Arabidopsis thaliana: one gene and its partner. The protein of the gene in region 1 interacts with the protein of each later gene in a pairwise test. Each region holds a gene or a part of one and is shown in the gene's direction. Other genes may lie near its edges.

Region 1 (4,202 bases):
TATCCTACTTGAGGTACTACCTCATATTAAAAGAATACGTTCAAGATAAGAGAAAACCAGTATGTGATGGGACAGATAGCTCCCAATTATAACAAACCTGCTGATCAAGAAAGGTTGCCAAATCAGTTGGGTGCAAGCCCTCCACATTGAAGGAACAAAGAGCACCCCTGTGAACACTTTCAGAAGGTCTGGGACCGTATATCCGCACATCAGGCAGGGAAGACAGTTTCTCGTACAAATACTTACCAATCTCTACCTGGATGACACAAGAAATTAAAATCTACAGTTAGAAAACATGTGAGAATCTCCGTGACTGTATGTACGTCATTGACGTCTAGTTGTAGGAAAATAAAATTAAACCTCATATTCATGGATTTTCGGCATGCCAATTCCTGACAAGTAATCAACTGCTGCTCCAAGGGCAATTGCTTCTCCTATTGCAGGTGTTCCAGCTTCAAATCTGATACAAACTTAAATATATTTATTTCTAAACTGCAGCAATTATGCAGATTAGTAACTAATATATGTAGAATCCCTACCTGGATGGAGGTTCCGCATAAGTTGAATGGTCAAGAAATACATCTGAGATCATTTCTCCGCCACCTAAAAGAGGATCGAAATACAAGGAAAAAAAGAAGTGGGACTCAGTCCAGTCCCATCCTTGATTAAACAGATATGATAAACTGTTTTCATAAAGAAATATTAGATAGACTGCTTACCTAAGAATGGAGGCATGGAATGTAGAAGATCACTCTTACCATATAAGAACCCAATGCCTGTAGGTCCACACATCTGAAGCATGATTATCATATTACTATAAGCTTGCCACAGGGCTTATTATGCATTTCATGAAGAAAAATAAACAATTCCAACCTTGTGAGAAGACGCAACTAGAAAATCAGCATTAAGCTTCTGGACATCAACCACCATGTGAGGAACACTTTGACAAGCATCCACTAGAACTTTCGCTCCAACATCGTGTGCCCATACCACAATCTCTTCAATAGGAAGAGAAGATGCTAAACAAAAAGAAACATAAGTTAGATACTTACCTTCTTTCATGGAAAAATTAAACACATATACAAGCCAAACAAATTGAATATGATGAGAACATGAAAAAGAATCTACCAAGAACATTAGAAACATGATGAACAGCGACGAGCTTTGTCTTTGGAGAAATCAATTCTCTCAACTTGTTTATGTCAGGGACTTCATCCTCATTCAAAGTCACAAACTTTAGAACTGCTCCAGTTTTTTGAGATACAATTTGCCAAGGAACAATGCAACTATGATGTTCAGCAACTGTAAGTATAACCTGAAAAGCTTGCATCATTCACAATCTCATTTGGAAGAATCTCAACAAGATGGATTGATAAAAGTAAAGCCAAACCTCGTCTCCTGGTTTAAGATTAGAAAGACCCCATGAATAAGCTACAAGATTGATGGCTTCAGTGGCATTCCTTGTAAAAACAATCTCTCTACTATCAGAAGCATTGATGAAACGAGCAACTTTTTTCCTAGCTAACTCAAATTCATCTGTAGCTTTAGCACTTAAATAGTGTATTCCTCGATGAACGTTGGAATTATAGAACTCATAGTAATTCTGCAAAGCGTCCAATACAGCTGCTGGCTTCTGAGAAGTTGCAGCACTGTCTAAGTACACAAGCTTTGACCCATTCACTTCCTGAAATAAAAACTCAATCAATGGTAAAATTGCTTAATTTTCAAATCCATACAATTCAAAGTTAATCAGGTTTATGGAAAGTGGACAAACCTGGTGGAGAATTCGGAAATCTTTTCGAACGCGATGGCCGAGAGAGACGGATTCGGAATCAGTGGAGATGGTGGCGGAGGAAGCGGCGGCGGCGGAACAAACGGATAGCGAAGAGGAGCAACGAACGCGGGAGAAGCTCCGGTGGCCGATGGAGATGGCGTTAGGGAACGACGGGAGTTTCATAGCCACACCTTCCATGGTGGAGAAGACGAATGAACAAGAGTGAGTCTTCAAAGTCACAAGTTCGACCACAGGCGGCGGTCAAAAGATTAATTTCATCTAAAGATATGGGCCGAATTAGGCCTTTTACTCCATTAAATGGGCCCTTGGTTTTTAAGGTCCAATCAAACCGGTTAAATACCGGTTCAACCGACTTTGAAACACTACAAAACACGTTATCTAAAATATCCTCCATTTAGTAGAAAAAGGCAGTTGACAGATATTTATGAAAGAAGTAATGATACGTAGGGAAGCGAAGACAGCAAAAGTAAGGTGTGAGAGTGAGAGATCACATGGGGAAGAGCAAAGAGGCGTTGTCATTTGATTGGACCGACCACTTCGTATCGTCTCATGTTCCTTCGCATCCCCAAGAATTGTCCACATGTCACACTCACACATGTCTTGGTTTTATATGCAGTCAATGACGAGCTCATTATTACTTTATGTACAGTTTCTTATGCCTTTCTTTATTACAAAGAAAGATCAATCAACGAATCACAATTTATAATCAAGAAAAACGGACAAGAGAGTAAGAAGAATTATGTCGCCTTCTTGTTCATCTTGTGTCAATGTGTTACTCATCATGTGCCTTATGCTTCTGAGTTTATCAGCTGATGCGTACAAGAACTACACTGTGGGAGAGTCCACGGGATGGTTCGATATTCAAGAGAGACCCTCTGCTAATTATCAGAAATGGGCCGATTCCAAATCCTTTTCTTTGGGTGATTTCCTCAGTAAGATTTTTTTCTTCAACCCCATTTTCGTTACTACAATAACTTAGCAAAATGTTATATCGTTTGTTTTGTTTTCAATATGTAGTATTCAACACAGATAGCAACCATTCGGTGGTTCAGACATATGATTTCAAAACATACAAAGATTGTGATTACGACAACAATGAAAACAATGATACAACAGAGTGGTCGGCTGCAAATCCTTCAGCAACATCTCCTGTTCCCGTCTCAATAAGTGTTCCTCTTGTTAAAGAAGGTTCCAATTATTTCTTCTCGGGAAACTATGATGGCGAACAATGTAAATTCGGTCAGCATTTTATGATCAATGTAACACATGGTCAGGGCTTACCAGATTCATCATCACCAGATGATGCTGCTGCACCTGGACCTAGCGAATCCTCTCAGTCCGGTGATGATGAAGTTGCTCCTGATACCATCGTCCCGGCCAATTTCGATCATCCTAAAGATATTGAAAGTGCTGATGATGATAAAGAGGTTCATAGTAAAAAAAGTTCTTCTTCCACAACAAAAACTAGTTTGTTTTGTTTTGTCTTTATGGGGCTCTTTGCATCATTTTAATCAAATATTCTTTCATATTTGTATGTATATGCATTCTGTTTTCTTCTTTTTCATAACTAGGATAATAATAATCAAAGAAACAAAAGAGTATTAGTGGAAATTTTAAAGCAGTGAGGGAATAAAGAAAAAAAGAGTAAAGATCATGAGTTATCCTTTTTTTATCGAATATAGTTTGTATTATGTTCAGTTTTTTACTTCGGATTTTGATGTCTCAAAGTTGAGTATCACTTGTTCTCCGAGATGCTTCAACGTAGAACTGCAATTTTTGTTTTTATGATCTAATTGTATCAACAACAATATGCATTATGACGGATATAAATCTAGTAGGTGACACAATACCGACTCCACTACAGATTATTAGGTTATACATACTAATCTGATTTGATGGACTAATTCATTGTATCTACAATATTTGTAGTCACAAATGACAAATCTATAAAGTTGATTAATTAATGTTCATCCGTTATCTAAATTGTTTTTTCCAACCACTTTTATTACAAAAGTTTTTAAAAGGTGTATTGTATCAAAGAACTTAAATAATTTGACATATTCTAGAATTTCCAATCACGGGGATTTTACTTTTACATTAATTATATACAAAAAATACTGTCAACAACAATTTTAACCAATTTAAAGGTCGTCAAATCATTATCACAAGAAAGGAAATGATGAGAACATCGTCAACAACATGGTTAATCAAAATGATCATTACATGAGTTGACATAGAAACTGTGCTAAAAAGCTTAAGGATGCATTAACATGTTAACTCAAGAGATTATGGATTCCATTCAGGATGTGATGTCTAATTGTCTATCATGTTTGACCACATTTTCGCTAGTCAAGAAACTCCAAAAGAAGGGACTATTTATTTGTGGTCAAGTCAAGAATCATTTTAT
Region 2 (3,447 bases), on another chromosome or scaffold:
GATAGAGCCTTATGTCTATGAGTGGACATCAAAGCACCGTGGAAGCATCAGTGCGGAACATGGATTAGGTGTAATGAAAGCTAATGAAATCTTCTACAGCAAATCACCCGAAACTGTAAGTTAACAACAAACAACGTATGGAAACTATGTATAGAACTATCGTGTCACTCTATTCTTACCGGAATATAATATTATGCAGGTTGCATTAATGGCTTCCATTAAAAAGTTGCTGGACCCAAAGGGAATTCTCAACCCTTACAAAGTTCTTCCTCACTCTCTCTTCTCCAACTAAGGTAAAAGATTATTATGCTTTATGATTACGCACCGAAATTATTGAAAGCATCTATCTTTCTATCTATGAATGCTCTTCCAACGTCAAAAGTGAAGAATCATCATCTTTTACTTTGGAATCATTGACATTCTTTTTTCGGCGAATGCAAGGGTGGTGATGAGATGATTCTTCAAACAGGAATTTGGAACATGAGCAGCCAAGTTTGAGCGATATGATTGATGCAAAGGAACAAAAATACAAGTGCTGATTAAAAAGTCTTTAAACTCAAAAGTGTATATGCTTCGCTTCTTCTTCTTTGTTGTTGTTGTTGTTGTTACCTTGTTTTAATATCTTTTTAGTAAAGGATAAGAAAGAATCTAAACCTATTGATCTTACGTGTATTTAAAGTTAAAATTTGCAGTGTATGTAGACCAAAACTCGAAAAGATAATCTATAATAATAGTATTTTCAAGAATCTTCACATAATATCTTTCTATTCTTGGAATTTCTGTTGTAATGGATTTTCTTATTTTGTTCACAAAAAGACTTTATTTTTATTTTTCCCCATAGTTCTGTTTTTACTTCATGTATTACCTTTCTTTAATGTCTTACTAGGAGAAACCAGATCGGTCAGATAAACCGGAATAATATCTGGTCCGATTGATTTGTATAAGTCTAACTAACTTCTCTAATTTAAGAGATAAGCTATAGATTTTAACATATTTGTTCTAAGTTCTACCAAGTATATATTCTTCTGAGACCTAAGTTGGACCTAACTAGATAGGAATATAAGATCCGTATTACCATAGTTCATAGACCATAGTTTCCATGGAACAAATGTGTACAAGTTTTGGTTTAAGGTGAAGCCAATGCATACAACAACATCATGCATCATAATTGTAATTATGACTAGTCAGTTTTGATATATAATCAAGTTGCTTACAACTTTTGTAACCATCGATCCATTCAAAATAATCAGAAGGACAAGGGCAATAAGACAATGAAAGCAATATATCATCGCTAAAAATCCAAGGCATCGTTGAATGATGGATCCATAAACCGGAAATAAATTAAAATAATGTTACAAGCCAACTTTTACCTGATGCATGTATCAATTCTTATTTTTGGTTAATATCAATAATATGCATGCATCAGTTTGGTTATCCTAAAATTTACATAACTCAGATATTCATAATGGTATGAGATTTTTAATTTAAGAAATTTGGTTTTCCGAAATAGATATTGGAATGTTTTATGATAATATTCCTAACTGGTTTGATCATGATCGCGAGAGTAGCAAAAGCGTGTAAGATTCGCTTCTCCAACACAAGTGGAAAGTCCCGGATTAAAGAGAGCCGACACAATAAAAACGACGTCGGATTGATGACTGGACATAGACCCAAACGCTTTAGACACATTGCAAAGATGATAAGACACTATAAAAAGCTCACTGGATATGGCTAAGGAGACAAAACACACACAATCTCTCTCTCTCACACTCACTGTAATAAACACAAATGACGAGTTCTTCTGAATCAACTCGCAAGGTTGGTTAATTGTTTCTTTAACTAAATATAACAGTACCTTTTTGGTTATAATTCCATTGTTGTCTTTGGTTTGATCATCTCTCTCTTGTTCTTACTATGTTAGGGTCTGACCAAAATCGCCACGAACCGGTTGCAGAAAGAGTTCATGGAGTGGCAAACCAATCCTCCTTCTGGTTTCAAGCACAGAGTCTCTGATAATCTCCAACGGTACATAATCATTTTATTGTCTTTCCTTCGAATATTGATAATCGGTGATGTAATGTTGAATTGTTGGTGTAAACAGATGGATCATTGAAGTGCATGGAGTTCCAGGAACTCTTTACGCCAATGAAACTTACCAACTTCAAGTTGAGTTCCCTGAGCATTATCCTATGGAAGCTCCACAGGTTCGTCCTCTAACTCCTTTTGTTAATACTTAACGATACTTAATCATCGCATCAATCTCATAACCCGATGGTTCCACATATAAAACAGGTTATCTTTCAGCATCCAGCTCCACTTCATCCTCATATTTACAGCAACGGTCACATTTGTTTAGGTAAGTACATACAAACACAATGACTCACTCTGTTTCAAAGTCCAATGACAAGACCCTTCTATGTGTTCTTTTGATTATGCAGATGTCTTGTATGATTCGTGGTCACCGGCGATGAGACTAAGTTCCATCTGTCTCAGCATTCTCTCAATGCTCTCCAGCTCATCCGTGAAGGTTTGTGTGTTTTATCTTCTTCTCATATTTCAAAGGCTTTCACAGAATAATCTTCTTCTTATGATGTTTATTGTTCTCTCCTTACAGCAAAAGCCGAAAGACAATGACCATTACTTGAAAAACTGCAAACATGGAAGATCTCCCAAAGAAACTAGGTGGCGTTTCCATGACGATAAAGTATAACATCTCCTATAATATTGTGATTACAAACGAATTGTAAGATCTCAGGTCGAGTTCTTGATCTGTTGCTATCTTTAAAACAAGAACAGCTTCTTTCTACAGTTTAACCATACGAAAAGCTTGAGCATAAAACTTGAAAATTTGGAAATAACATGATTCATTATTATATGAAAGAAATCATCAACTGTTAGTACAAACCAAGAACTGAGAGAATGATTGATCCAAAGAAGAGAGAACTTTGCTTCTAACAAGCCTTCGTGTATATTTGATAGAAGACAAAAATCTGTTTCTATCTCTAAAGAAAAGAGCTGCTGATGACTTTCCATCACATCTTACATTTGTAATAAACACTAGGAAGGACTACTCAGCAGAAGCTTCATTTGTTCTTGCTCATGCTCCATTTTAATAACACCTGCAATGTCAAAACCTAAAGCTTAAGCATATGAAGCAAACACGAATCATACAGATGCTAGAATACCTACTAAAAGTGTTTATAGACCAAGCAATTTCACATGTTTCCCAATAGACTACAAAAGCTATTCTAATTGCTCTTGCTCTGTACATTTCGACAAGAAACTTCAAAGGCCCTTCATGAAACTCAACGTCAAGCTCAGAACTTTACTCCCCTTACAAAAACAAAGCAAGCAACTTTATGCAATTCCAGAATCAAATTAATGTTCATTTCCAATTCTCAAACCTAATAAGCACTAACAATTCAACACCAAGCTCACACAATCTCA

What was found.
Region 2: the proteins of ENODL18 (region 1) and UBC17 interact in a two-hybrid assay, tested with the Arabidopsis thaliana proteins (one large-scale study listed by BioGRID).

What each region holds. Positions count from the first base shown.
Region 1 is NC_003070.9:2,686,576-2,690,777, forward strand, and holds ENODL18 (early nodulin-like protein 18), read left to right. Parts: upstream 1-2,304; 5' UTR 2,305-2,534; coding exon 2,535-2,727; intron 2,728-2,812; coding exon 2,813-3,306; 3' UTR 3,307-3,675; downstream 3,676-4,202. Other genes in the region: CPNIFS (chloroplastic NIFS-like cysteine desulfurase), read right to left, coding at 98-256, 361-460, 540-603, 720-792, 874-1,019, 1,129-1,315, 1,391-1,684, 1,775-1,972. UniProt on the Arabidopsis thaliana protein: May act as a carbohydrate transporter.
Region 2 is NC_003075.7:17,200,181-17,203,627, forward strand, and holds UBC17 (ubiquitin-conjugating enzyme 17), read left to right. Parts: upstream 1-1,741; 5' UTR 1,742-1,788; coding exon 1,789-1,818; intron 1,819-1,921; coding exon 1,922-2,025; intron 2,026-2,101; coding exon 2,102-2,204; intron 2,205-2,292; coding exon 2,293-2,356; intron 2,357-2,438; coding exon 2,439-2,527; intron 2,528-2,614; coding exon 2,615-2,710; 3' UTR 2,711-2,808; downstream 2,809-3,447. Other genes in the region: D2HGDH (FAD-linked oxidases family protein), read left to right, coding at 1-115, 200-292. UniProt on the Arabidopsis thaliana protein: Accepts the ubiquitin from the E1 complex and catalyzes its covalent attachment to other proteins.